Macaca mulatta: one gene and its partner. The protein of the gene in region 2 binds, or shares a complex with, the protein of the main gene of each other region. Links are inferred from orthologs where the notes say so. Each region holds a gene or a part of one and is shown on either strand. Other genes may lie near its edges.

Region 1 (15,003 bases), on a different chromosome or scaffold from region 2:
CTCTATAAACACCATGCTCAAACATGTCTGAAACTGTTTTTGTCATCTAGCGTGCTCTCCTATTTACTGCTTGCCTATCCAAACTGCATCCATTCATCTAGGGCTACAAACCCTTCCCTGACTGCCCTTACCTTGCCTATGACTCCGAATATGCTTATAGCCTATTACACGGTCTAGGGCTTCTTTATGTCATTCTATGATACAGATGAGTACTGGTAACATTTACAGCTTCACTTGTGTGCCCTCAAAGGAAAGCTTCATATTTGTTTCACATTTAATGCTTACAACTGTACTAAGCACAAAACCCATATGCAAATGAATATCAAGTTTTTCTACAAATCATTATTGGGAGAGCACAAGGAACACAGAGTACCTATATGCAGTACAGTCAGAAGGCAGCAGGACTGTGTGACACAGTGCAATATGCCACTATACAGCCATGTAAGCATGTTAAATCTCATTCCAATCCATAAAATAAAGATGGCATCTACCTCAGGAGAGTTGCTGTGAAGATGAGGGGCAGGGAATTAAAGAATACTAAATGTGGAAATTTTCCTTGAAAAATGCATAGTGCAAAATCAAACTGAAGTACTATTATTCTTCTCCACGACTATTACACTGTAGTAGTCCACAAAACCATAAGCTTGAATTTTCTTTTCAAATATATAATTTTGTGAGAAGTAAAAGCAAAAATCTAGATTAATCTTGTATAGATAGTATGTTATGTTAAAATGAACACACATGTTAACTGTAGCTGAAGTTTATCCGTTAGTTTCTAATTAAATTTTCTAGTGATATGCCATGATGGTTTTTAATCAAGACCTACTGTTGTTCCAAGACTTTGAATGAGGTTCCCACTAAAAAAAAAAAAAAAGTCAGCAAGATACTCTTTATTTGTCTCCTAAAAAGTTTTTGAAAGACTATGGTCTCATCATCAGGCCTGGCACCACTACAGAAGCGTCAAGATACTGGGGCAGGCAAACTCATTAGAGGCCACAAAGGGCCCAACCCTGCAGTAAGTCAAGAGATTTTCCTTGTGCTGGGCACATTTCAGGAAGAGACTGACATGCTTGAGAACAGGAGCTCTCCAGCACACCTACATGATGATGATGGCTGTCAATCTGTTCCAAGCCACTGGATGCAGCAAGTCAGGACTGGGAAGCATTTGTTGATAAACGCAGAGATTGCTTAGTGAAAAAATGGAAGCAAATCTAAATATCCAACAATATGGGAACGGTTTAAAAAATAAGGAGACTGGCCAGGTGCACTGGCTCACATGTAATCCCAGCACTTTGGGAGGCCAAGGCAGGCAGATCACCTGAAGTCAGGAGTTTCAGACCAGCCTGGCCAACGTGGTGAAACCCCATCTCTACTAAAAATACAAAAAAATTGGCCGGGGTGATGCAGTACTGTAATCCCAGCTACTCGGGAGGCTGAGGCAGAAGAAACACTTGAACCCGGGAGGTGGAGGTTGCAGTGAGCCAAGATTGCGTCACTGCACTCCAGCCTGGGCGACAAGAGTGAAACTCCATCTCAAAAAAAAGGTGGGTGGGGGGAGAGATAGATGGTACAAGATTACGTGGCCATCAAAAGAAGAGCTTTAACGTCATAAAAAGACTTATTTAAGAGCAATGGAGGCTGGGGGGAGGAAGTTGCACAATAATATTTTATTTCTGTAAAATATCCCCTCAACAGCAAACAAACCCAAAAAGAAAGGTTAACACCAAATGGTTAACACTGGCTGTCTCTCTGGGTAATAACATTATTATATCCTCATTTTCTTATCTTTCTGAATTTTCTTCAAGTATGTATTACTTTTTAAAAATTTTGGTACTATTTATTTTTTTAAGAAAAAAAGTGTTTTTCTGTTTAAAAAGAGAAATCAAGAGTGCAGATAAACAGCTATGAAACATAATTCTAAAGGCACTCTTTCTTTGAAGAAAATCCTAAATCAGATAATAAATGCTGAAAATAGAGGATCTAGGAAACAGCCTAGCCCCTCTATCTCAATTCCTTCCCCAAGTGATATCTTTCTAGTCAGGGTCAAAATACTGAGAAGTTATTTCCCAGTGGCTAGAGCAGATATCCTAGGATAAGAATCAAAAAAGAAAAGAAAAAGAAGATTACCTATTGCTAATCCATTTTTTTTAATAAAGGCACTGCAAAGATAGAGTTGAAAATGACAGCTGTAGCCTTTAAAAGTGAACATGCTCAATTCTAAAATAATAAGCTTTGAGTTTAATAATTTGCTGGAAATTTCAAATGAGGACTCCATTATTATATGCCAGGAATTACCCAAGCTCTATACATACAAAATATATGGTGGGGTCTGCTTCTAGCAAGCCTTACATACACATCTGAGCTTCTAAAGAGAAAGTAGGTGATTTTTCTACATTTCCACATTGTAACTTATCTGAATCTGTTTTCTCAGTGTTTAAAGGAGACATTAATAGCTATCAAATAAGATAATGAACATAAAATGCCCGTATAGTGTTGGTTAGAATAAAGGCTCATAGCCATTCTTATTCTTTCTTCTTAAGCTACCTCACAAAAATGTAACACATATAATCCAATGTGTGCTGAAATAACTACAAAATGAAAAACTACCAAATTTCTAAGAACTCTTTGGATTACTGAGAGGAATTTAAAAGAAAGCAGTGTAGTCCTCCCCTCAGCGAGCTTAAACTCTAGTGGTAGAAACACAAGAAAAGAGCACATGTATATCTATTATGCATCAATTAAAAAAAAAAAAACAGCACATGTTTAAGGGTTACAATGCCTCTCCTTAGAAAAGCAACCAGACAGAATTAGAGGAAAGAGGTTTAAAGGTAGCTAGGTCATGACTTAAAAAGAGATGTTATTAATAAAGTGCATGTATGTTTTTCTAGATGAAATAAAAATCAAAGGCCAAAGCAGATAAAGAAATGAGAACAAGGAAGAAAACTGACAGGAGAATCTGAAAAATCTAGGCTCAAATGTTTCAATGGGGTAAGGAACTGATCACATATTCTGAACAGCATTCACAGATGTACCATTCTAGATAGAGCATCCACAGCACTGTAAAGTAGAAGTTTTAGTTCTGGAGTCACTCTGCTGAAGAAAAATCAGATGCCAAGCTACTGCAGGAGGGACTGAGAAAGTCAGTGGGACCAGGTGGTTAGTGGGTGTTACCCAGAAAAAGTTAAGCACTCCTGGCTCTCAGAGAAAACTACTCACTAAAAAACACCCACTATAAAAATGTCTGTGTGCCATTCTACACATAAAATTTAGAGTCCTGTAATAAATTTAATTCCATTCAAACATTTGCAGGTTCTTTGTTAGGAAACAAAACACAGCATATCTGTAATACAAAGTCCTTAGCACTATGTCCAGTGAACACTGAATTTGGAGAGAAACTGCATTTCTATTATTTCAAAATCCCTTCCCCTCTTTCATATCAGTTGTTGAATTTCACTGCTAATTATGTCCAATTAGCCATGATTAAACTTACTGAGGGTGTTAAGTAACAGGCGCAAGGTTACACATGTGACTTAATGGTAGATATGACAATAAATTGACTTCTTGACTTTAAGTAATCAAACCAAAAGACACTATGTTAATTCTGATCCATAAAGACAGTCCAATTGGTTGACCTCATGAATAGATTTCTACAGTTTGGGGCCCACTGACATATCGAAGCCAATCAGTCTGAGTTACCAGTACCGCACACCAAGTCCATAGGCTATGTGACCTCTGTGAATCTGTTTTCTCATCCATAATACAGGCAAATCTCGGCTGGGCGTGGTGGCTCATGCCTGTAATCCTAGCACTTTAGGAGGCCGAGGAGGGCAATCACTTGAGGTCAGGAGTTCAAGATCAGCCTGGCCAACATGGTGAAACCCCGTCTCACTAAAAATATTAAAAAATTAGATGGGTATAGTGGTGGGCGCCTGTAATCCCAGCTACTTGGGAGACTGAGGCAGCCTGAAGACAGAGGCTGCAGTGAGCTGAGATCATGCCACTGCACTCCAGCCTGGGCAACAGAGCGAGACTCTGCAAAAAAAAAGATAGGCAAATCTTCTCACTAGGGTTCCTGTAAGGAGTAAACCTGTTTATGATGCTAAACATTAAGCACTCGAATAAATGGCAACCACAGTACATTCCACACAAAACTTAAAAACAAATGGTCAGCCAGTGAAGGGAAACTTACCATGTACCTCATTTATTTTACACGTACTCTGCTTCTGAAAGACTTTTAAAAGAAAGGCACACAACAATTTCCCTATGCCTATTTCTAAAATGGCCCTTATCACAGTTTACTGCAATGCAAGTGTCTCTGCTGGTTCCCACACTGGATTGTGAGCTTAAGGTAGGAATCCAGACTTGTATCTTTGGACCCCCAATGTGGAGCACAAGGCCTAGCACACTGAGTGACTACTTGATCACCTGATGCATTCTTAAAAAGTGAAAAAGCAATTATCTCCTATGTGGACAGAGGAAGGTAGTGCACATCTGACCTTTAAAATATAGACTGTTTTTATAGTCTTAGATTACTTTTTGAAAACAGCCAGCCAGCTCTAAATCAGGAGGCAACACTATACATTTTGACTAATACTTTTCAGCTACCAATCATTGTATTTATAGATTCACACTGACTTTTTTTTTTTTCCTGAGATGGAGTCTCGCTCTGTTGCCCAGGCTGGAGGGCAGTGGCGCGATCTCGGCTCACTGCAAGCTTCATCTCCCAGGTTCACACCATTCCCCTGCCTCAGCCTCCCAAGTAGCTGGGACTACAGGCGCCTGCCACCAGGCCCGGCTAATTTTTTGTTAGCCAGGATGGTCTTGATCTCCTGACCTCGTGATCCGCCTGCCTCGGCCTCCCAAAGTGCTGGGATTACAGGCATGAGCCACTGAGCCCAGCCAATTCAAACTGACTTTCAACAGGCCTTTGGATTACTTTCTGTTCATCTCCTCCATTCAGAAGTCCAATCAGTTCGCTATATAAAAAGTTCACTATACAAAAACCCAAACCAGCTAACTCGTTTAGTAAATAATAAAAATATCCATCCATCATTTATGGCCTGCAAAGCACTCAGGGATTCCTAGAAACGCATTTGATCCTAAGTATCCTATGAGGCAGGTGACATCGTCCCCTTTTATAGACGCAAAGAGTTAACTCATTCAGGGTCACACAGCTATATATGGCAGGTCTGGGATCTAAACCAACATTAATTTTAAAATTAATGTTCTTGCCTTTATGTAACCCTATATCCTAAAGATTAATTATGATCTCCAAAACTCATTTAAGGAAAAGGGAATTGCCAATTTTTAAAAGAACTATACAAAGTTGTTACAGTGAAATTTTAAAACTGGCCTATTAAGCTAACATATCTACCTTTAAAAACAAAAACAAAATCAAGGAGTTAAAAACAGCATAAAACACGCCAAAGACTCATCAAAATGTCAAATTTTAAAGGAAAGCTCTTAGCTGAGGGCAAATAATAATAATAGGACTCATATCTACTTTATTGTAGCCTTCAATCTTCTTGTCCTGATCAAGGCCATTTGGAAATAACTTCCTGTTGGTTCTCTTAGGGAAAACAATAAAATAACCAGTAAGGGAAAAACTTAGATAATAAAGAACTGGCCAGAATTAAAAAAAAAAAAAGAAGTCAACTAACCTACAATCTGCTAGGAATGACTTGAGGCCATTGATCATTTACATCTCATTATGAGTATTAGATACATATAACCATACCTCTATTAGAAAATCTTTTAGTAGAGAAAGCAGTAATATGATTGGCCTTCAGCACACTTATCATGACACAGAAAGCACTTTTAGTCTGTTTCCTCAAGTATTCCCCTCAGAAAAATTCCCTCAGAATCCAGCTCGTTAGTTTCTCCATCATGACATACAGATGACTGCTAAGATCATATTCACATAGAGATCAAAAGGATTCTAAAGCTTAAAGGTTGCTATTATATAACCATAATTTCTTGCCCCTTAAACTAGTGAATTGTCATCTTTCCCTAGAAAAATGTAGAAACAAGGAACTTAAAAGTACCTTTACAAGGAAATTTTAGTTCATTCTCTAAGGTACCAGCATTTAAAGGAAAACTCAGTTTGTTGGCACTGAAAGAGCAGGTAGCACAACAGGATGTTTTAATTTAGAAGTTTTTCTCTATTTACGTAGATATATTTCCTCATTTCCTCCTTGCCAACAAAAATAAGAAAAATCTGAACATCTACTGATAAAGTAGTATGATAAACAAAAATTAATGGTCATAATCAAATTCTCTTAGATGAAGAACCTAACATTCTATGCCAAAGTAACTGATGACTTTCTCCCTAGTATGAAGCAAGTACTAGAAAAACTGGATTGTTCACAAGCTTGCTTCCTGATGCATGCTAACAATATCATCCCTACAGGCCAGAATGGGTATATGCTCCACAATAAATCGTCCTGTATCTATCTTCAAAAATAGCTAGTATTCCCATTCAAACGTTTATTAGGATTGGTGTGAAGAAAAATTAAGGTCTAAATGGTGTTCACACAAAACATATACATGTGCTGTCTCTACCACACGTAGAAATCTATAATATCATTCCTTACAACCAGATCATCTAGTTTCATTCCTGGTTCTGGCACTTACCTTGTGCTGTGTGTGAGACCTCGGGAAAATTATTCTTCTCAGTGCCTTAGTTTCCTCATCTGTAAAATGGGGCTAATAGTCTTACCTTTCATTGGTTGTTATGAAGACTGAGCTAATATGCTTAAAGTGCTTAAAAGAAAGCTTAGCACACAGTAAGTACTGTAAGTGGTAATTATTATTATAGACTAATTGATACCACCTCATCAGATAAATCACAAATGGATGGATTCTATATAGATGTCCATGAATAGCACATACGCTATGTCTAATCTATACACGTGTATATTCATGCAGATGGTTAAACATCTATTGAACCCCAACTATATCCCAGATGCTTATTTTCATTGAGCTTGTCACAACAAAAATTATCCAAAGCTGCATTACCATTTGCGCTATATAGATGAGAAAATGATTCAGAAAGACTAGATTTGCCTACATGCAAAATAAAGTCCCATAATAATATACCATTTTTTGAAAGCAACTTGTGTACAAAGCAGGGTTTAGTGTCATCAGATGTTAACTGGAGAGAAAAAGCCATTAATAGTGAACTCTAATTAAAAAACCAAAAGCTTATATTTAACAATTTACAGTTTATAAAAAAGGCTTAATGATAACCCTGGAGATAAGAAAACTAAGAACCACAGACTAACATGCTGAAGATTCAGAAAGCTAGAAAATATTGCAGGCAAGATTTCAACCAAATTTACCTGACTCCAAGTCCAGTGCTCTTTCTGCTTCTCTATCCACAGCCAAATGGGCAAAATGCACTTTTTGTAGAGGCCCAAATCTCTGGAGACTCTGCCTAGAGAACCAGCATCGTGGGAATTTGCTCAGCCTGGTTTTATACAGGCTGCCTCCCTGATCTATAGTGCTCCAATTCTAAAATGGCTTCAATATAGCAAGCACTGCAAGACGGGAAATGTACAAAAGATTATAGGGTAGGAGTCATACTCCAGGGGCTGGCAATCCATATTTGCTACTGATGAATGAGGATATTCAATTTGAAAAAAACTAGGTGTAGAGTCTAGGCCAAATCACCTCATTTCTCATAAAGACTTCATCTGCAAGATAGGTGAATGGTTTCTTATCTCATTGGAGGGGCAGGCTAGGAAAATAATTCTGCAGTTGCTACAGGATTATTTGCCTTCCATTTTGAAAGCCACACTTAAATTTCTAACTTAGGTCCAATAAGATTGACAGGTTGTACACTCATACACTTCGTGTTGCCAAGGACAGGAATCCAAGAAAAATGAGGGCTCAAACAAATGAGATATCCCTAAGTAAGAAATAGGGTACCCTGGAAGCAGTCAAGAAGAAATTCACCAAGAACAAATACTTATATAAATTTCCAACATGAAAATGCAAAAGCTGCAGCGTCCAGCTCCATAAATTGCATCTGTGTCTGGCTTCATATGAACTGACAGAATGAGAAATGCAGACAATTTTCATATTCTTATAAGTGCTTCACCTTTCTGTTTTGGCTTCCGTGGCAGGCTGATTTTATGTTCATAGCATCATCTTGCCAAATTCCATCTCCCACACAGGGTAAGCAAAATCAGGACCTGATGCTATCTAGCCTTACCAAAGAGAAATGCAATGAAGGCAACGACAAGAGACATGCATTTCACAGAAAGGCTGGCAAATTGCTTACCAAGGCTGCCACCTCTGGAAACCTCATTATATGGGAGTTCTCCATTTGCGGCAAAGATGCACTCACCTTCCCACCTCTTCTTCCCTCCGCTCCCCACCCCCCGACCAGGAAGCCACCGGGCAAATTTCAGACCGAAAAACGTGCTAACACACAATAGGGGGAATTTGGGGTAAAGACACAAAAGAATTTGGCATTAAATGACGGTAAATACTGTGGGAAAATATTCCGATTCTCATCCCGATATTTTTTCCTGGGGATCCGGCCTGACTCAGTAACCGGCTCCAACAAACACATTTTCTTGATTCAAACCCAATTCCCTTCCTAGGGAATCTTGGGTCCTGCCAGGCTCCATAACCAGTTAAGGATGATGAAATGGTTTTACTGCAAAATGGGAGGGGGTTCCCCCACTGCTGTCTCCCAAGGTTAAACCCCTTACTCATCCAGGAGGAGTCAAACAGGGGGACTGGGGCTAGAAAACTCACCCGCGTTTGATTAAATTTTAATTTCTGGAAACCGGAAAGCACGGAGCAGAGGTGACTGGGCTGAAGAGGACGGTTCTTGCCGACCAAGACGCAGGGAGGGGTCGCGTGAGGGACCGAATCAGATAGTGAGGGAGAGTCCGGGACCCTCGGCTCCGCTGTCCCTCACGGTGCAGCACAGAGTTGCACCCCGCCCGGCCGGCAGGACCTTAGGCGGCGAGGGAGGCCCGGGCCTCTCCAAGAGGTACAGGGCCCGGCCCCGGAAACAGGGAGGGGCCGCTGCGAGGCCTGGCCTTGCCGCCGGCGGCCGCGCGAAGCGGAAGAGGCAGCGCACCGCTATCCCCCGGGGCCCACCCGCTGGGCCGCCGTCGTCGCAGCTGCCAAAGAGGGGCTTCGAATTTGGGCCCCCGGGGGCCCCGGTCGGACCCCGCGCCGCACTCACCGTGGGAGGGCTGCAGGGAACAAAGACCCTTCCGAGCAAAGCTCCAAGCGAGATGACCTCTTCCTTCCCAAGCCCACTCCTCAGGCAGCGGAAGCGGTGCCTGCAGTGGCTGCAGCAGCGGCGACTACCCCGGCTCCGGAATCGGCGGCGGCAGTGGCGGCAGCTCCACTTCCGCTCCGGTCGCCACTTCCGCTCCGGTCCTGGCCGCGCCCCGCCCCACGCCGTGTTCTCATTGGGCAAGCGAGGCACGGGGTTGCCGCGGCCCCACGGGAGGGGCGCTGACGGAAGGGAGGAGGAAGAAGAACGAAGGGCAGGGTTGCCGCGGCCGGGGCAGGGCGCATGGCCGGGGGAGGGACCCAGGAGGAGGTGGGCGGAGAAGAAGGAAATGGGGCGGGGGAGCGGGAAAAGGAGGTGGGAGGAGAGAGGGCGGAGCTGGGGGTGGTCAAGATACGGGCTGTAAAGGCACCCGGAGGACTAGGAGTGAGGTGTGGGTGGGGGTTTCCTTTTCTGCTCAGACTGGAAACGCGCCAGGGCCAGGTACGGAGACTCGAGGTTTAGCAGTCCCCCCTCCACCCAGAAAGTAATCCTCACGGTGTCGGAAGCCGATGTCAGTCCTCTTGCTGTGTGCTTTGGGAATAGTGGAGCTAGGGAAGAACAGAAATTGCTCATCCCTCAATGTTCCCTTAATCCTCCTTTCAATCCTTCGGAGTACTTACTTTTTCCTTCTTTGGTAGACTGAAGAGGCCACTTGAAGTGCCAGGAATCCAACGCACAAAGGTCTTTTTCAAAAACCTGTGTAGGGCCGAGCGCGGTGGCTCGCGCCTATAGTCTCAGCACTTTTGGAAGCTGAGGTGAGAGGATTGCTTGAGGCCAGGAGTTGTAGGCTGCAGTGAGCTATGGTCATGACACTGCACTCCAACCTGGGCGACAGAGTGAGACCCTGTCTCCAAAAAAACCCCACAAAAATCTGTGTACATGATTCCGTCTTTAAGATGCCCCCTCCTTGAGGAAGTTCAGGGAAGGAAACAGGCTTCCATGGCTCCCCTCCCCTCATGACTGCTCTCACAATTACCGACATTCTACTCCTCTCAAGGTAGTTGATTTTGTTTTGTTTTGTTTTCTGTTTTTGAGACAGAGTCTCTCTCTGTCGCCCAGGTAGTGTCACAGTCTTGGCTCACTGCAGTCTGTGCCTCCCAGGTTCAAGCAATTCTCCTGCCTCAGCCTCCTGAGTTGCTGGGATAACAGGGGCATGCCACCACTCCCGGTTCATTTTTGTATTTTTAGTAGACACGGGGCTTCGCCGTATTGGCAAGGCTGGTCTCAAACTCCTGACCTCAGGTGATCCACCCGCCTCAGCCTCTCGAAGTGCTGGGATTACAGTTACAGGCATGAGCCACCTTGCCCGGCTTCAAGGTAGTTGATTTTTAAACTCAGTCCTTCAAAATGCCTCTCGCCTTCCCTCTCTCCTGTTCATTTATTCTTTCAACAAATGTGGAACAGACTTTTTGCTTAGTGCTGGAGACACAGCAATGAACAAGGCAGATGGGGCCCTGCTGTCTTGGAGTTTGCAGTCGGGTAGGAGAAAGAACCAAGTAAATAGGCCTTTGCCGTCTTGCCTTTACCCTTACTTAGCTAAATGACAGACTTCTAATTCACTGTTTTACTCTCAGCCTCGCCCGTCAACTGCCAAGTGATCTTTTTAAAAATACCATTCTAATCGTGTCCTGTTCTTGCTTAAATTATTTAGTGTGCACTCAGACCTAGATGACAATATGTAAGTTCCTTGAGACAATCAGCGTTCTCCAAAAGCTGCCCTTATCCTTTAGCTGCTATTTCTCCCCCATCGTAAATACCACAATTCAATTGGATGATTCCTTACCTTCCCAATATGCCATCTCCAGTATTTCTAAGCAGTTTGACTTAGTTGCCAACACTTTTTTAAACTGAAAAGTTTCTGTGTGAACAGAAATCTGCCTCTACACCTTGTCTGGTAACACCGTGTCCACATTTCTGTGTGGCAACAATTGGCTGAAGCCAAGGAGTGGCTGCCTACTCTAGACTGGGTATGGACTTTCCCAAGTGTCAGGAACCCTTCTCGACCTGAGTCTGTTTTCGTCACTTATGTTATCTGTCATGTAGGCGTGTGTGCCAGTGACCCCTGTACTGTACCACCTTTTAAGTTGAACAAGATTGAGAATGTGTTGTGTGATGTTAACAGCATGATTTGAGTCAAAACCATTGGATTTGAATCCTGGAGAGGTTTCCTAGTGCAAAAACTTCCCCATGAGGATGGTCTTTGGCAGACCCAAGGCCAGTAATCTAAAGACTACTCAGGCTAAGTAACCTTTAATGTCACATAACTGTGCCTTATGCTATCATCCAGAAAATAGCCTAACAGACCAGAGGGCTAATAATGATTGTACCACAAATGACATCAACAGTGCATTGAGGGAACAGAAGTGCCCTTTGTCAGGCATTCCTAGGTGCCTGTTTAAGGGTTGCATGGATTAGATTATTTCACCATCTCTGCATTCTAGGCCAACGGTCAGCAAACCACAGCTGTGAATTGACAGCAATACAGAGAAATGTTAAAATACAATGTGGTAGGTGCAACCATAGAAATAAAAATATGTGCAGGGTATTATGGCAGCTTGGGAGAAGAGCACCGAACCCATCTTGGGACTATGGTGGGAGAGCGGGAAAGATTTCCTGAAAGAAATGATACTTGAGCCTTATATACTGAAATGAATCTTTTTTCAAATTATAGACTTAATTTTTAAAAATGTGTTTGTAGAGACGGGGTCTCATTTATGTTGCCCAGGCTGGGCTCAAACTCCTGGCCTCAAGTGATCCTCCTGCCATGGCCTCCCAAAGTGCTGGGATTACATGTGTGAGCCACTGTGCCTGGCCAATAGACTTAATTTTTTAGGACAGTTTTTGGTTTACAGAAAAATTGACCAGATATTAGAGTTCAAACATTCCCTCTCCCTCCTCCACACAATTTACCCTATTATTAACATTTTGTATTAGAGTGGTACATTTGTTGCAATTGATGAGCCAGTATTAATACATCATTATTAACTAAAGTCCATAGTTTACATTGGGGTTTATTCTTTATGTTGTACATAGTTCTGTAGGTTTCGACACATGCGTAATGTCATGTATATAAATAAAAGTTTTACTGTCCTAAAAATCTTTTCTTCAACTCTTCATCCCTCACTCCCTCCCCTCACCTCAACCTTTGGCAACCACAGACCTTTTACACTATAGTTTTACCTTTTCTAGAAAGTCATATAGTTGCATCATACAATACGTTTTCCTTCCTTCCTTCCTTCCTTCCTTCCTTCCTTCCTTCCTTCCTTCCTTCCTTCTTTCTTTTTTTTTTTTTTTTTTTGACAGAGTCTCACTCTGTCACCTAGGCTGGAGTGCAGTAGTGCAATCACGGCTCACTGCAGCCTCGACCTCCTGGGTTCAAGTGATTCTCCCACCTCAGCCTCCGTAGTAGCTGGGACTACAGGCATGTGCCACCATGCCCAGCTAATTTTTGTATTTTTTATAGAAATGGGGTTTTGCCATGTTACCCAGGCTGGTCTTGAACTCCCAGGCTCAAGCAATCCTCTTGCCCTGGCCTCCCAAAGTGCTGGGTAATAAAGTGTGAGCCACTGCACCCAGCCCATATGTAGCCTTTTCTGACTGGATTGTTTTATTGAGCAATGTGATTTAAGTTTCCTTCATGACTTTTTATGATTTGATAACTTATTTCTTTCGATTGCTTAAAAATATTCCCTTGTGGCCAGGCACGGTGGCTCACGCCTATAATCCTAGCACTTTGGGAGGCTGAGGCAGGTGGATCACGAGGTCAGGAGATCGAGACCATCCTGGCTAACACGGTGAAACCCCATCTCTACTAAAACTACAAAAAATTAGCCGGGCGTGGTGGCGGGTGCCTGTAGTCCCAACTACTCTGGAGGCTAAGGCAGGAGAATGGCGTGAACCTGGGAGGCGGAGCTTGCAGTGAGCCGAGATTGCGCCACTGCACTCCAGCCTGGGCAACAGAGTGAGACTCCATCTCAAAAACAAACAAAAAAACAAAACAAACAAACAAAAATATCCCCTGGTATGAATCTGCCACAGTATGTTTATCCATTAACCTATTCTTTTTTTTTCCAGACAGTCTCACTCTGTTGCTCAGGCTGGAGTGCAGTGGCATGATCTCAGCTCACTGCAACCTCCGTCTCCCAGGTTCAAACGAGTAGCTGGGATTATAGGTGCATGCCACCATGCCTGGCTAATTTTTGTATTTTTAGTAGAGATGAGGTTTTGCCATGTTGGCCAGGCTGGTCTTGAACTCCTTACCTCAGGTGATCCATCCATCTCAGCCTCCCAAAGTGCTGGGATTACAGGCGTGAGCCACCACGCCCGTCCCATTAGCCTATTCTTAAGGATTGACTTGTATCCTCCAGAAAGATATGTTGAAGCTTTCACCCTTGGTATCTGTGTATGTGACCTTATTTGGAAAAGGGCTTTTGCAGTATAATCAATTAAAATGAGGTCATTCAAGTGGGCTGTAATCCAATGTGGCTGGTGCCCTAAAGAAGGAGGAAAATGCCATCTGAAGACAGGACACACATGGGGAACAACACATGACAATGGAGGCGGAGACTGGAGTGATGAGCTACAAGCCAGGGAACACTAAGGATTGCTGGGCACCACAAGAAGCCAGGAAGAGGCATGAAAGGATTCTACTCAGAGTCTCAAAGGGAGCACGACTCTGCTGTCACACTGATTTTAGACTTCTAGCCTCCAGAACTGTGAGAGAAGACGTTTTTGTGGTTTGAAGCCACCCAGTTTGTGGCCCTTTGTTATGGCAGGCTTAGGGAACTGATAGACCTACTGAGAGATATCTGGATCCAGCTGTTGACAATTATGAAGAAAACCGCAGTAAACATCTGTGTGCAGGTTTTTGCGTGGGCATAAGTTTTCAACCTAGGAGTGTGACTCTTAGATTATATGTTAAGACGACGTTTAGCTTTGTTAGAAACTAGTAAACTGGCCGGGTGTGGTGGTGCATGCCTATAGTCCCAGCTACTTAGGAGGCTGAGGCAGAAGGATCACTTGAGGCCAGGAGTTCTGGGCTGCAGTGCACTATGTTGCCTGGGCATCTGCACTAAGTTCAGCATCGATATGATGACCTCCCGGGAGCAGGGGACTACCAGATTGCCTAAGAAGGGGTAAACTGGCCAAGGTTGGAAACGGAGCAGGTCAAAACTCCCGTGCTGATCAGTAGTGGGATCGTGCCTGTGAATAGCCACTGTACTCCAGCCTGGGCAACACAGCAAGACCCCATCTCTAAAAAAACAGTAAAAATAAAAATAGGCTGCTGGTCACGGTGGCTCACGCCTGTAATCCCAGCACTTTGAGAGGCCGAGGCAGGTGGATCACCAGGTCAAAAGATCGAGAACATTCTGGCCAACATGGTGAAACCCCATCTCTACTAAAAATACAAAAATCTGCTGGGCGTGGTGGCACATGCCTGTAGTCCCAGCTACTTGGGAGGCTGAGGCAAGAGAATCACTTGAACCCAGGAGGCAGAGATTGAAGTGAGCCGAGAATGCGCCACTAATCCCAGCACTTCGGGAGGCTGAGATCGGTGGATTACCTGAGGTTAGGAGTTCAAGACAAGCCTGGCCAACATGGTGAAACCCTGTCTCTACTAAAAAAAAAAAAAAAAAAAAAAAAAAAAAAAATTAGCCAGGCGTGGTGGCAGGTGCCTGTAATCCCAGCTATTTGGCAGTCTG
Region 2 (14,993 bases):
CCATGTACATCACTCACTGTGAACGCAAAGCCGAATGAAATTAGACTTGTATTAGAACAACGGTGGTAGGGCTGGGCACGGTGCCTCACTCCTGTAATCCCAGCACTTTGGGAGGCCGAGGCGGGTGGATCATGAAGTTAGACGTTCGAGATCAGCCTGACCAACATGGTGAAACCCCATCTCTACCAAAAATATAAAAATTAGCCAGGCGTGATGACGCATGCCTGTAATCCCAGCTACTCAGGAGGCTGAGGCACGAGAATCACTTGAATCTGGGAGGCGGAGGTTGCAGTGAGCCGAGATGGCGCCACTGCACTCCAGCCTGGATGACAGAGCGAGACTTGGTCTCAAAAAAAAAAAAAAAAATAGAAAGAAAGAAAGAAAGAAAAAAAAAAAAAAAAAAGAACAAGGGTGGGAACTCGGAAATAACCTGGAGAACTTGGGGAAGATGTCAGAGGTGGGACTTCAAGGACAGGTGGGCTTTCCCAACGAGGAAGGACAGTCTGGGTGAAGAGTCCTGAGGACCAAGACCGGAAGGCAGGGAGGATGTAATGTCAGGTGGGATGGCTGGGGACAGCCAGGTATTCATACCACAGTTAAGACCTTGTCTTGCATCTCCATGGACCATGAACAAGACTTGTTTGTACAGAGGCTGTAAACTGCTGATTATAGTAACAGAGGCTAGGAGAAGCAGAAAGAGGGTGAGCCAGGTTACACGTACATGGCTGTGCTATCATCTGGGCAATGGTGCCCTGAACAGGAGGTGCATGCCTGTGGTCCCATTACAAGTGGCTCATACTTTCAATCCCAACACTTTGGGAGGCTGAAGTGGGAGGATCACTTTGGCCCAGGAGTTTGAGGCTGCAGTGAGCTATGATCGCGCCACTGCACTCCAGGCTGGGTGACAGAGCGAGACCCTGTCTCTAAACATAGGAGAAATCAGAATCTGTGGACGTCCTTGCATTTATTGGACACTCTGGTGTTTGGATGTTTTGCATTGTGCAGGCAGAGTTTGTCTTTTCAGCAGTTAGGTTTCTAGAGGTGTTATTTTATTTATTTATTTTTTGTTTTGTTTTGTTTTGTTTTTTGAGACAGAGTCTCGCTCTGTCTCCCAGGCTGGAGTGCAGTGGCGCGATCTTGGCTCACTGCAAGCTCCTCCTCCCGGGTTCACGCCATTCTCCTGCCTCAGCTTCCCAAGTAGCTGGGATTACAGGTGTGTGCCACCACGCCTGGCTAATTTTTTGTATTTTTAGTAGAGATGGGGTTTCACCGTGTTAGCCAGGATGGTCTCGATTTCCTGACGTTGTGATCTACCCGCCTCGGCCTCCCAAAGTGCTGGGATTACAGGCATGAGCCACCGCGCCTGCCTAGAGGCGTTCTTAAGCCCTGGAGGAGGGCAGAAATGAGATGCAGATGCCTGTTGAGGGGGAAATTCATGGCTGGGGAAGGAGGGATGTTGGGTGAAGGAGAGAATTCACTCACAATCCTCCCACCCACTCAGATCCAGCTCAGAGGAACATCTCTGAAACCACAGGAGACAATTCTGATGTTTTCAGAGCATGGGGAGAGTAAGATGGTGTGATCTGGAGACACAGCCAGCAGAGACTTGGAGCCAAGATTGCAAGATCCCCAACAAATCACTGAATTCAGGCCAGTCGCGGCGGCTCGCGCCTGTAGTCTCAGCACTTTGGGAGGCCGAGGTGGGAGGATCGCTTGAGCCCAGGTGCTCGAGACCAGCCTGGGCAATATAGTGAGACCTCATCTTTACAACAGCAAAAAGAAGAAAGAAAGAAAACACTGAGTTTGGCCTCCCCATTTTACAGGTAGTGAGACAGATCCCCAGTAAGACAGAGAGAGAGAGATTGGCCCAGGGGTATTCATGGAATTAGCAGCAGAGCAAGGATCAATTTGGATCTTCACCTGAGCCAGGGTGCCCGGAGCCAGGAGGCCCCAATCGAGAGGAGAGGGCCTCCAACCTATCCAACACCCCCCCTCCACAGCACCCACCCGCTCCTCTTAGCCTCATGCCCCTTTCTTCAAGCATCCGCCAAGTCTCTGGGTACCTGGGGTGGGGATTCAGAGATGTCAGGACACAGTCTTGCCTCAGTGGCCTGTTGGGGGTGAGGGAGGAGCCAGACAGGCACACAGGGATAAGCGATGATCCTGTCAGCCTGTGTACCAAGGGCCTCAAAAGACGGTTAACCGCCACCTGACAGCTGGCCACGGTGGCTCACGCCTATAATCCCAGCACTTTCGGAGGCTGAGGCAGGTGGATCACTTGAGGTCAGGAAATCGAGACCAGCCTGGCCAACATGGGGAAACCCCATCTCCACTAAAAATACAAAAATTAGTCGGGCGTGGTGGTCCAAGCCTGTAATCTCAGCTACTTGGGAGTCTGAGGCAAGAGAATCGCTTGAACCCAGGAGGCGGAGGTTGCTGTGAGCCGAGATCAAGCCACTTCACTCCAGCCTGGGTGACAGAGTGAGACTGGCTCAAAAACAAAGTGGGGGCCACTTGGAGATGGCTCTCTGAAGCAGCGCAGAGCCCCTCCAAAGGAGGGAGACTGGGGTGAGCATCAGAACCCCCTTTCTTTTTTTTTTTTTTTTGAGACGGAGTCTCGCTCTGTCGCCCAGGCTGGAGTTCAGTGGCCGGATCTCAGCTCACTGCAAGCTCTACCCCCCGGGTTTACGCCATTCTCCTGCCTCAGCCTCCCGAGTAGCTGGGACTACAGGCGCCCGCCACCTCGCCCGGCTAGTTTTTTGTATTTTTAGTAGAGACGGGGTTTCACCGTGTTAGCCAGGATGTTCTCGATCTCCTGACCTCGTGATCCTCCCGACTCGGCCTCCCAAAGTGCTGGGATTACAGGCTTGAGCCACCGCGCCCAGCCGCAGAACCCCCTTTCTTAACCTGGCAGGGATGGGCAAAGAGAATGCACATCCTACAGAGGGCAGCAGGGAGGAAGGAGCAGAACGGCTGGGGCTCCTGGGAATGTGATATGACCATTTGGCAGAGACAGAAGATACCCGGCCAAGGGAGGCGGGTGGAGGGGCTGGCCTGTGAGCAGCCTCGGATAATCACTTTCCTCCCACAGCCGGTGGCTTGGGCCCTCAGGGCACTGCCATTGTGATCCTGGGTGTTGTGTGATCCTCCCGTGGGCTGGAAGAAAAGTGCTATGTGTCAACCTTTTCCAAGGCTGCAACACGTGGGTGACCACCTCCTCCCCTCTGCCTAACATGACCACGCATAAGATACCTGTCGGAAAGCCAGCGGAGCTCAGCATCTGCCTGAAACTCTCTCTTGCCCCCACCCCGTAGGGACATCCTTGGGGAGAAGTCTGGAAATCTACTAGACTGGGCTTTACTGCTGCCCCTCAGAGATGCTTGGGCGTGTTTTTACTCTCCTGTGCCTCGGAACCCATCTTTGAGGCCGTTAAAGCCTCCAATGAGGTGTCCGGTGTGAATGCCTCAGTCTGGTTTCTGTCCTTAAGGTGAGAAAAGAGCCTTCAGAAGCAGAAACAGGCCATGTACAGTGGCTCACCCTTGTAATCCCAAAACTTTGGGAGGCTGAAGCAGGAGGATTACTTGAAGCCAAGAATTCGAGACCAGGTTGGGCAACAAATTTCATCTCTACAAAAAAAAGTTAGCCAGGTGTGCTGGCATGAGCCTGTAGTCCCAGCTACTGGGGAGGCTGAGGTGGGAGGATTGCTTTGGCCAAGGAGTTTGAGGCTGCAGTGAGCTATGACTGTGCCTCTGCACTCCAGCCTGGGTGACAGAGTGAGGCCCTGTCTCTAAAAATATATAAATAGGCCAGGCATGGTGGCGCATGCCTGTAATCCCAGCACTTTGAGAGTCCGAGGTGGGTGAATCACTTTAAGGTCAGGAGTTTGAGACCACCCTGGCCAGCATGGCGAAACCTCGTCTCTACTAAAAATACAAAAATTAGCTGGGCATTGGGAGGCCGAGGCAGGTGGATCAAGAGGTCAGGAGATTGAGACCATCCTGGCTAACACGGTGAAACCCTGTCTCTACTAAAAATGCAAAAAAATTAGCCAGGCGTGGTGGCGAGCTCCTGTAGTCCCAGCTACTCGGGAGGCTGAGGAAGGAGAATGGTGGGAACCCACGAGGTGCAGCTTGCTGTGAGCGGAGATGTGCCGCTGCATTCCAGCCTGGGTGACAGAACGAGACTCCATCTCAAAAGAAAAAAAAAAAAAATTAGCTGGGCGTGGTGGCGCGCACTTGTAATCCCAACTACTCAGGAGGCTGAGGCAGGAGAATCGCTTGAACCCGGGAGGCAGAGGTTGCAGTGAGCCGAGAACATGCCATTGCACTCCAGCCTGGGCGACAGAGCGAGCCTCCATCTCAAAATAAATAAATAAGTAAAATATATAAATAAATAAAAATACAAAGAAGCAGGAACAAAAGCTGGACTTCAGTGTCAGTGAGAGAAAGGGATCAGAGCTCCTGGGTAGATGCCAGCCTGGGGGATGTCCACCTTCCAGTGAGCCACACACCCCCACCAGTAACAGTCCCTTGAGGCTCCCCTTGGGCGTCTCTGTGCAGCTGAAGTAATGATCACAATTTTTAAAAAATATATATATTTTCTTAAGTATTTTATTTATTTATTTATTTATTTTTATTTTTATTTTTTTGAGACTGAGTCTCGCTCTGTAGCCCAGGCTGGAGTGCAGTGGCGGGATCTCGGCTCACTGCAAGATCCGCCTCCCGGGTTCACACCATTCTCCTGCCTCAGCCTCCCAAGTAGCTGGGATTACAGGCGCCCACCACCACGCCCCGCTAATTTTTTGTATTTTTAGTAAAGACGGGGTTTCACCGTGTTAGCCAGGATGGTCTCGATCTCCTGACCTCGTGATCCACCCACCTTGGCCTCCCAAAGTGCTGGGATTACAGACGTGAGCCACCGCACCCAGCCTATTTTATTTTTTGAAATAGGGTCTCACTCTGTCGCCCAGGCTAGAGTGCAGTAGGGTGCGATCTGCAACCTCCACCTCTCGGGCTCATGTGATTCTTCCACCAGTAGCTGGGATTACAAGCCAAGCACGAACCACCACATCCGGCTAATTTTTGTATTTTTTGCAGAGACGGGGTTTTGCCATGTTGGCTAGGCTGGTCTCGAACTCCTGGCCTCAAGTGATCCACCCACCTTGGCCTCCCAAAGTGCTGGGATTGCAGGTGAGAGCCACCGCGTCAGGCCACCATGTTAACTAGAGGTATTAACAACCTCCTTCGGGCCAGGCCCTTCAGGGGCGTTGCCTGGTGTTTACCACATCAGGCCCCTGAGAGGTGGGGGCTTCCAGCTGTATGGAGGACCCAGAGGAGCTAATATGGGGTCGGGCGGCGGAGGTGGAGGGCAGGAGTTAAGTGAGGGGGGATGGTGATCTCTGGCCTCACAAGAGGGTGCCCCTGAAAGCACAAACCCCAGGTCCTGAGGCGCTTTCAGGCTCAGTTGTGATAGGGGACCTTTTCATTGTTGAAACAGATTCTCTGTCATCCAGGCTGGAGTGCAGTGGCGCGATCTCCGCTCACTGCAGCCTCAACCTCTTGGTCTCAAGCGATCCTCCCACTTCAGCCTTCCGAGTAGCTGGGACTACAGGTGCATGCCACCATGCCTGCACCTGTTTTTTGCACCATAATTTTTGTATGTTTTGTAGAGACAGGGTTTTGCCATGTTGTCGAACTCCTGGGATCAAGGGATCCTCCCACCTTAGCCTCCCCAGTAGCTGGTATTACAGGCTCTCTCCACTATGCCCAGATAATTTTGGCATTTTTTTTGGTAGAGATAGGGGTCTTACCATATTGCTCAGGCTGGTCTCGAACTTCTTTTGTTGTTTTTTTTTTTTTTTGAGACAGAGTCTCGCTCTGTCGCCCAGGCAGCAAGGCAGTGACCGGATCGCAGCTCACTGCAAGCTCCGCCTCCCGGGTTCACGCCATTCTCCTGCCTCAGCCTCCCGAGTAGCTGGGACTACAGGCGCCCGCCACCTCGCCCGGCTAGTTTTTCGTATTTTCAGTAGAGACGGGTTTTCACCGTGTTAGCCAGGATGGTCTCGATCTCCTGACCTCGTGATCCGCCCGTCTCGGCCTCCCAAAGTGCTGGGATTACAGGCTTGAGCCACCGCGCCCGGCCTGGTCTCGAACTTCTGACCTCAAGCCATCCTCCCACTTTGGCCTCCTAAAGTGCTAGGATTACAGGCATGGGGCCCTGGCGCCCGGCCTGACCCTTCTTAAGATCCCTTTGGAGCAAACTAGGGGAGGCTCTGTTAGAATTCCAAGGAGAGACGGGAAGGGAGATGGGGCCGACCCGCCGGAGCTCTAGGGCACCGGGTTCTCACCTGGCGCAAGGACTATGCTAATACAAGACCCGCCCCGTCCCAGGCCCCTCCCATCCGAGCGGCCTATGGGGCGGGGGCTGGGCTATGTTAATGAGGCTGGGCTGGCCACGAGCTGTTCCCTGCGCTGCACGGAGCCAGCACCAGGCGGTGGCGGCGGCGGCGACAGCCATGGCCGGGGCGCTGGCAGGTCTGGCCGCGGGCTTGCAGGTCCCGCGGGTCGGTCCCAGCCCAGACTCGGACTCGGACACGGACTCGGAGGACCCGAGTCTCCGGCGCAGCGCGGGCGGCTTGCTCCGCTCTCAGGTCATCCACAGCGGTCACTTCATGGTGTCGTCGCCGCACAGCGACTCGCTGCCCCGGCGGCGCGACCAGGAGGGGTCCGTGGGGCCCTCCGACTTCGGGCCTCGCAGTATCGACCCCACACTCACACGCCTCTTCGAGTGCTTGAGCCTGGCCTACAGGTGAGGGTGGCTCGGGGCCCCGATGGCCTCGGCCTCCAGATGGGGATTGGGGGGTCTGGGGCAGGACTGCGCGCTGGGGCCCTCAATACCCCACCCGAACCCGGTCCTGCGGCTCCCGGAGGCTCTGGTCACGCCCTGAACATCCCCTTTCTCCCAGCCCCGGGGTCCTCCTATCGCCACCCAGCCCGCTGGCCCCCGACGGACCCGCGCTTTTCTGATTCCCATTCCTCCCCCATCCCCTCTTCCCCGAGGCGCAGACCGCCTGCGCCCCGCCTCTACCTGGACCGCTGGTCCCCTTTCTCTGGTCCCGGCCCCTCCGTCCCTCCAAAAATGCCAGGAGTCCCAGGTCCCTAGGCCTCCCGCGCCCATCCCCACTCTCCACTCTGGAGCCACTCCACCCGACCCCCTGCAGGCCTCGGCCTTCTCCCCAGCAGCCCCGGCCCAGGCCCGCCCTATTCCGGGACCCTGAGATACTCCCAGCTACCCTGATTGTCTCAGTTCATAACCAAAGTGGACTGAAACTGGCCCACTGTCTCGTCCAACTCCCCGCAATTGCTGAGACACCTCTTCTTGATCTGCTATGTCAAGGGTGGCGGGAGGAGCATGTCCCAGAAATGTCCAAGAGGCGCAGCTCGCTGAGGTTACGCCGGTGCCCGGGAGGCCTGGGTTCGCCTACCCGCGTCGCCACACTAGGCTGAGCGCCCGTCGCTGCCTGGGACCCCCGCTTAGCGCCTCAGAGAGCGCACAGGCCGCGCCCCGCTTCCGCTCCACGCCCCGCGTCCCAGAGGAGGGCGCGAACCCGAGGCCTGGCCCAGTGCCCTGGAGCAAAGTTCCCCGGAGCGGAGGGGCCAGTATAAATTATCAACCGAAAACCCGTAGGGGAGAAAGGGGGATCGGCCGGCCTTGATCTTTTCTCTGTGCAAATATTCCTCTTCCTCCGCGGCGCCTCCTCCCCTTCTGAGAACCGCTGGCTACGGATCGGCACCTGCCGCCCTGCGGGGGAGCGGGAGCTGGGGTGGGGACTGTCGGGGGAGTATTGCCTGCCCCCAACCGCGGCCGCCTAGCTGCGACCCCATTGGCTGGAGGCGGAGTAACCTTGGCCCACAAGCTCTGGCCCCGGGCCCAGGTCATGTTGCAACCCGATCGGCCAGGGCGCCGGACCCGTGTGGAAAGTTCAAATTCCCGTCCCTTCTCCCTCCCTCCCCAAATGTCACGCGACTGCCTGGGACAGGGCATCTGAGGTCCTGGTACACCGAATGCCGGCACTCCTCCTTCTGCGGGTCTCCCATTCCCCACCCACCCCCAACTTTGACTTCTCATTATATACTACACATCAGTCTACTTGGGGGGGGCCTCACTTCCAACCCCCACTCCTGACCATGTGTGACCAAAGAGGAGAGGTTCTGGGGAGCTGGCAAGGTAAGGGACAGAGCGCAGCCCAAAAAACTGCTCCCCTAGGAGGCTGACTCAAGGCTGATTTAACCCCAGTCAGGGATAGCTGGGGTAGATAAGTCTGTGTTTTCTTCCCAAATACCCAAATATTAATATATTAACAGTAAATCTCTCTGGCTGGGCACAGTGGCTCCTGCCTGTAAGCCCAGCACTTTAGGAGGCCAAGGTTCTCATCCAAGGATTTCTTGAGCCCAGGAGTTGGAGACCAGCCTGGGCAACATACTGAGAACCCGTCTCCACCAAAAAAAAAAAAAAAAAAAAAAAAAATTTTTTTTTTTTTTTTTTTTTTTTGAGAGGAGTCTTGCTCTTGTTGCCCAGGCTGGAATGCAGTGGTGCGATCTCAGCTCACTGCAACCTCTGCCTTCCGGGTTCAAGAGAATCTCCTGCCTCAGCCTCCTGAGTAGCTGGGATTACACGCGCCCACCACATCCAGCTAATTTTTTGCATTTTTAGTAGAGATTTCACCAAGTTGGCCAGGCTGGTCTCAAACTCCTGACCTCAGGTGATCCGCCTTCCTTGCCCTCCCAAAGTGCTGAGATTACAGGCGTGAGCCACCACGCCTGGCCAAAAAAATTTTTTTTGATCAGCCAGGTGTGATGGCGCATTCCTATTCCCAGCTACTGGGGAGGCTGAGGTGGGAGGATCACTTCAGCCCAGGAGGTTGAGGCTCCAGTGAGACATGATCGTGCCACTGCACTCCACTCATAGAGATAGAGTGAGACCTTGTCGGAAGGGAGGGAGGAAGGAAGGAAGGAAGGAAGGAAGGAGGGAAGGAAGGGAGGGAGGGAGGTGGAGGGAGGAAGGGAGATGGAGGAGGGAAGGAGATGGAGGGAGATGGAAGGAGATGGAGGGAGGGAGGAAGGAAGGAAAGGAGGGAGGGAGATAGAGGAGGGAGGGAGATGGAGGAGGGGGGAGATGGAGGAAGGGAGGGAGATGGAGGGAGGGAGGGAGGAAGGAAGGGAGGGAGGGAGATGGAAGGAGGGAGGGAGATAGAGGAGGGAGGAAGATGGAGGGAACGAGATGGAGGGAACGAAATGGAGGAAGGGAGGGAGATGGAGGGAGATGGAGGGAGATGGAGGGAGATGGAGGGAGATGGAGGGTTGGCTCAGTACCAGGAGAGCTTCTAGATTTCCGCATTTCGTAGAGGAAAAGCCCTAAGGCTTGAACTGGGACAGTGTTTTCATCTTCAAAGACCCCCAGTTTCCGGGGTTCCCTGGAGGGGAGCAGATTACAGAGATTGAGTGTCCCAGGGGACGGACTGTATGGGAAGAGACAGTAAGGCAGAGAGTTCAGAAGGTGGTGGGAAGAATGACCAGCTTGACCCAGGGACCCGCCTGAACCAGGGACCAGCCTGACCCAGAGACCAGCCTGCAGAGGCCTGGCAGGGTTTCACCCTCCACAGGGTAGCGTGGGCAGAGGGAGGATCGAGGAGGCCGTGTTCCGTGGCTCCATGGGTGGAAGCCCCAGGGAGGCAGTTTCTAGAAGCTTCAAGGAAGCACTTGTTCATGGTCAGAGCTGGCTAGCTTTAGGAAGAGGGGCCTCGAGGGTGCAGGGGAGCAAACAGGACCTGGTTAGGTGGCAGTCTAAAAGGAATTCCTGAAAGGTGGGCGGTGGACAGCTGAACCTGGAGTTTTCTCCACTCTCTCTCTGAGTCTGAGTTGTCTTCTCCTTCTTCTTGTTTATTTATTTATTTATTTTTGGAGACGGAGTCTCACTCTGTTGCCCAGGCTGGAGTGCAGTGGCATGATCTCAGCTCACCACAACCTCCGTCTCCTGAGTTCAAGCAGTTCTCATGCCTCAGCCTCCAGAGTAGATTACAGGAATGTGCCACCATCCCCAGCTAATTTTTTTATTTTCAGTAGAGACAAGGTTTCATCATGTTGGCCAGGCTGGTCTCGAACTCCTGACCTCAAGTGATCTGCCCACCTCGGCCTCCCAAAGTGCTGGGATTACAGGTATGAGCCATTGCGTCCTACCTTTTTCTTTCTTTCTTTTTTTTTTTTTCAAGACAGAGTCTCGCTCTGTCGCCCAGGCTGGAGTGCAGTGGTGCTATCGGAGCTCACTGCAACCTCCACCCCATGGGTTCAAGCAATTCTCTGCCTCAGCCTCCCGAGCAGCTGGGATTACAGGCGCCCGCCACCACGCCTGGCTAGTTTTGTTTGTTTGTTTATTTGTTTGTTTTTTGGTAGAGATGGGGTTTCACCATGTTGGCCAGGCTGGTCTTGAACTCCTGACCTTGTGATCCACCCATCTAGGCCTCCCAAAGTGCTGGGATTACAGGCATGAGCCACCGGGCCCAGCCCTTTTCTTCTTTTAATAGTCTTTTTTGCTGTTGTTGCTGTTTGTTTGTTGTTGAGACAGAGTTTCACTGTGACGCCCAGGCTGGAGTGCAGTGGCATGATCTCAGCTCACTGCAACCTCTGCCTCCCGGGTTCAGGTGGTTCTCCTGCCTCAGCCTTCCGAGTAGCTGGGATTATAGGCACGTGCCACCATGCCCGGCTAATTTTTGTATTTTTAGTAGAGACAGGGTTTCTCCATGTTGGCCAGGCTGGTCTTGAACTCCTCACCTCAGGTGATTCGCCCTCCTCGGCCTCCCAAAGTGCCACCGCACCTGCCCCTTTTAATAGTTTTAAATAGGCCGGGCGCGGTGGCTCACGCCTGTAATCCCAGCACTTTGGGAGGCCGAGGCGGGCGGATCACAAGGTCAGGAGATCGAGACCACGGTGAAACCCCGTCTCTACTAAAAATACAAAAAATTAGCCGGGCGCGGTTGTGGGCGCCTGTAGTCCCAGCTACTCGGGAGGCTGAGGCAGGAGAATGGCGTGAACCCGGGAGGCGGAGCTTGCAGTGAGCCGAGATCGCGCCACTGCATTCCAGCCTGGGCGACAGAGCGAGACTCCATCTCAAAAAAAAAAAAAAAAAAAAAAAAAAAAAAAAAGTTTTAAATAGAGATGAGGTCTCACTGTGTTGCCCAGCTGGTCCTGAACTCCTGGGTTCAAGCAATCCTCTCCCCTCAGCCTCCAAAAGTGCTGAGATTACAGACCTGAGCCACTGCTCCCCGTCATACTTTTCTATTGGTCATAAGAAGTTGTTTGTTTTTTTATGAGTCGGGTTCTCACTCTGTTGCCCAGGCTGGAGTGCAGTGGCGTGATTACAGCTCACTTCAACCTTGAACTCCTGGGCTCAAGAGATCTTCCCACTGTAGCCTCCTGAGTAGCTGGGACTAGAGGTGTGCACCACCATGCCTGGCTAACTTTTTATTTATTTATTTATTTATTTTTGAGATGGAGACTCACTCTGTTGCCCAGGTTGGAGTTCAATGGCACCATCTTGGCTCACTGCAACCTCCACCTCCTGGGTTCAAGCAATTCTTCTTGCCTCAGCCTCCCGAGTAGCTGGGATTACAACTGCCTGCCACCACTATGCCTGGCTGATTTTTTGTATTTTTAGTAGAGATGGAGTTTCACCACGTTGGCTAGGCTGATCTCGAACTCCTGACCTCAGGTGACCCACCTGCCTCGGCCTCCCAAAGTGCTGGGGGGATTATAGGCATGAGCCACTGCACCTGGCCCCAGCTAACTTTTTTTTTTTTTTTTTTTTGAGGCGGAGTCTCGCTCTGTAGCCCGGGCTGGAGTGCAGTGGCCGGATCTCAGCTCGCTGCAAGCTCCGCCTCCCAGGTTTACACCATTCTCCTGCCTCAGCCTCCCGAGTAGCTGGGACTACAGGCGCCCGCCACCTCGCCCGGCTAGTTTTTTGTATTTTTTTAGTAGAGACGGGGTTTCACGGTGTTAGCCAGGATGGTCTCGATCTCCTGACCTCGTGATCCACCCATCTCGGCCTCCCAAAGTGCTGGGATTACAGGCTTGAGCCACCGCGCCCGGCCACCCCAGCTAACTTTTAAACTGTAGAAACAGGCTCTCACTATGTTGCCCAGGCTGATCTCAAACTCCTGGCCTCCTACAGTCCTCCTGCCTCGGCCTTCCAAAGTGCTGGGATTACAGGTGTGAGCCATATCCAGCCAGTCGTAAAAAGTTCTTGAACCCTGCTTTAGGCTCTTGCTCCAGGCCAAGTCTCTCATAGCCCCAACTCCTTTTCTTCCTCCTGGGCTTGGATATTGTCACTGTCACATCTCCTCTAACCCTGCCTGGGCCATGAACATCATAACCTTAGCAAGGAAGGGGGAGGGAAGGCAGGCAGGTCGAGGGTGCAACACGGGGTGATCAGAATGGGCTGGGAGGTTGCTGGGATACTGACAAGGACCACAGACTCAGGAGTCCCCCACCAGGTGCCACAGAAGAAGCTGGCCCAGGAGGTAGCAGAGTCTCCCCCCACCCCCCACCCCCATGTCTTCCTACTAAACAGATGGTGTTTATCTAATTCCCAGAGGGAGGGGGCCAGCCAGTGGCCCAGGGAGCTGGGCTGTGTATCTTATTTGGGTAATGAGGCCTGTTGTCCCTGGTGGGGAGGGGGCAGTCCCCCACCCCCACCCCAAAGCAAACACAGGAGCTTGGAGACCAGGGAGGAGAGAGGGCCCAATGACCAATGCACTCAAGGGGAAAGAGGCTGCAGAGTCAGACTGGCTCCCACCCACGTTTCACCCCCAGAATGCAGGAAAAACCGCTGGAGGAAGCAGGCATGGTTTTCTGAAAGACTAAACCTTGGGAGCCAGGCGCGGTGGCTCACGCCTGTCATCCCAGCACTTTGGGAGGCCAAGGTGGGCGGGGCACTTGAGGTCAGGAGTTCGAAACCAACCAGGCCAACATGGTGAAACCCCGTCTCTACTAAAAATAGAAAAATGAGCTGGGCATCGTGGCATATGTCTATAATCCCAGCTACTCAGGAGGCTGAGGCATTAGAATCGCTTGAACCTGGGACATGGAGGTTGCAGTGAGCCAAGATCATGCCACGGCACTCCAGCCTGGGCGGCAGAATGAGGCTCCATCTCAAAAAAAAAAAAGGCTAAGACTTGGGGCCTCAGCCTTCTCATCTGAGCAAGGGAGAAAAAGGTGTGCTAGAGGGGACTGGTACACAGCCCTGGCTTGTGGATGGAGAGGAGAGAGGGAGGGAGAGACTGGCAGGGGGTCTAAGATCCTGAATGTCTTGACCTCCTGGGTCAGCTTCCTGGAGGCAGCAGACTTGGCCTGTGCCTAGCAGGACCCTCACCAGTGTAAACTCTTCCATCCAGTGGATTTTTTTTTCCTTCAAGACAGGATTTTGCTCTGTTGCCCAGGCTGGAGTGCAGTGGCGTGATCATAGCTCACTGTAGCCTCAAACTCCTGGGCTGAAGAGATCCTCCGACCTCTGCCTCCCTAGTAGCTAGGACTACAGGCGCATGCCGCCACCCCCGGCTAATTAAAAAAATTTTTTTTAGAGATGGGGTCTTGCTATGCTGCCCAGGCTAGTCTCAAACTCCTGGGCTCAAGCAATCCTCCCGCCTTGGCCTCCCGAAGTGGTGGGATTACAGCCGTGAGCTACCGCACCCAGCCCACCTTGTGGATTTGATGGACAGCTAAGGTTAGAATGAGGGTGCTCTGTCTCCACGGATACCATTCCTCAGTCCTGGCTGTCTTCCTTTGGGATCTGCTGGTTCATTGTCTTCTGCAGAGCCCTGAGAAGAGCACACGTTCTCGCTGAGTCCAGGTTGCCATCCTGGGAATCTGGGCATGGCAGACACCAAAAGGACCGTACGATGAAGGCAGTGACTGCCACTCTCTATAAAGAGACACCCTCGACCAGGCATGGTGGCTCACGTCTGTAATCCCAGCACTTTGGGAGGCCAAGGTGGGCAGATCACTTGAGGTCAGGAGTTTGAGACCAGCCTGGCCAACATGGTGAAACCCCGTCTTTACTAAAAATACCAAAAAAAATTAGCCAAACATGGCGGCACACACCTGTAATCCCAGCTACTCAGGAGGCTGAGGCACGAGAATTGTTTGAATCCGGGAGACGGAGGTGGCAGTGAGCTGAGATCCCACCACTGCACTCCAGCCTGGATGACAGACTGAGACTCCGTCCTAAAAACAAAACAAAACAAAACACAGAGGCTCCCTCTCTACCAGGCAAACCATGGCCATCCCCTTTGCCTCTCCTGCGCCTAAGGAGGCTTGAGTGACCTTGGACCTGCCCCTTTCCTCCCTGACTTTCAAGAAGTTCTTTTTTTTTTTTTTTTTTGAGACGGAATTTCACTCTTGTTGCCCAGGCTGGAGTGCGGTGGTGCAAACTTGGCTCACTGCAACCTCCGCCTCCCAGGCTCAAGCAATTATCCTGCCTCAGCCTCCTGAGTAGCTGGGATTACAGGTGTGCGCCACCACACCCAGCTAATTTTGTACTTTTAGTAGAGACAGGGTTTCACTATGTTAGACTAGGCTGGTCTCGAACTCCTGACCTCAGGCAATCCACCCGCCTTGGCCTCCCAAAGTTCTGGGATGACAGGCATGAGCCACCATGCCCAGCCCAGGAAGGTCATTTCTTATTCTCTTAAGAAATGGGCTTGAGCACTGTCCCCAGGCAGCCTCCAAGACACACCTGTGAGGCCACTGGACATCGCTGTTCCCAGGGCCGAGCTGATCCACAGGTTTCAGTGTGGCTTTTGTTCTGTAGTAGACTGACAAACAGGTCTCCCCAGGGAACACAGGGGCCACTGGTGGGAGTCTGGAAGGGGATTTTGAAGGTCTGACTCTCCAGGTAGGAATTTCAGGCAGGTTGGGTTGGGGGGGCCAGATTTGGAGGGTCCC

The links.
Region 1: the proteins of MLXIPL (region 2) and YWHAB are in contact, whole or in part, in a crystal structure (PDB 6YGJ), measured with the Homo sapiens proteins. The link is inferred for Macaca mulatta from reciprocal best matches to the Homo sapiens genes MLXIPL and YWHAB. Residues at the interface, in NP_116569.1 of Homo sapiens: Asp118, Ile120, Arg121, Asn124, Ala125, Trp127, Arg128, Ala129, Trp130, Tyr131, Ile132, Tyr134; in NP_003395.1 of Homo sapiens: Gly55, Arg58, Ser59, Trp61, Arg62, Ser65, Ser66, Gln69, Lys70, Arg129, Val178, Tyr181, Glu182, Asn185, Leu218, Gln221, Leu222, Asp225, Asn226, Leu229, Trp230.

What each region holds. Positions count from the first base shown.
Region 1 is NC_133415.1:97,732,338-97,747,340, reverse strand, and holds the start of YWHAB (14-3-3 protein beta/alpha), read right to left. Parts: upstream 9,284-15,003; 5' UTR 9,206-9,283; exon of another isoform or gene 8,767-9,205; intron 8,403-8,766; exon of another isoform or gene 8,330-8,402; coding exon of another isoform or gene 8,285-8,329; intron 7,436-8,284; exon of another isoform or gene 7,341-7,435; intron 1-7,340. UniProt on the Homo sapiens protein: Adapter protein implicated in the regulation of a large spectrum of both general and specialized signaling pathways. Binds to a large number of partners, usually by recognition of a phosphoserine or phosphothreonine motif.
Region 2 is NC_133408.1:51,105,225-51,120,217, reverse strand, and holds the start of MLXIPL (carbohydrate-responsive element-binding protein), read left to right. Parts: upstream 1-6,402; 5' UTR 6,403-6,430; coding exon 6,431-6,807; intron 6,808-14,993. UniProt on the Homo sapiens protein: Binds DNA as a heterodimer with MLX/TCFL4 and activates transcription. Binds to the canonical E box sequence 5'-CACGTG-3'. Plays a role in transcriptional activation of glycolytic target genes. Involved in glucose-responsive gene regulation.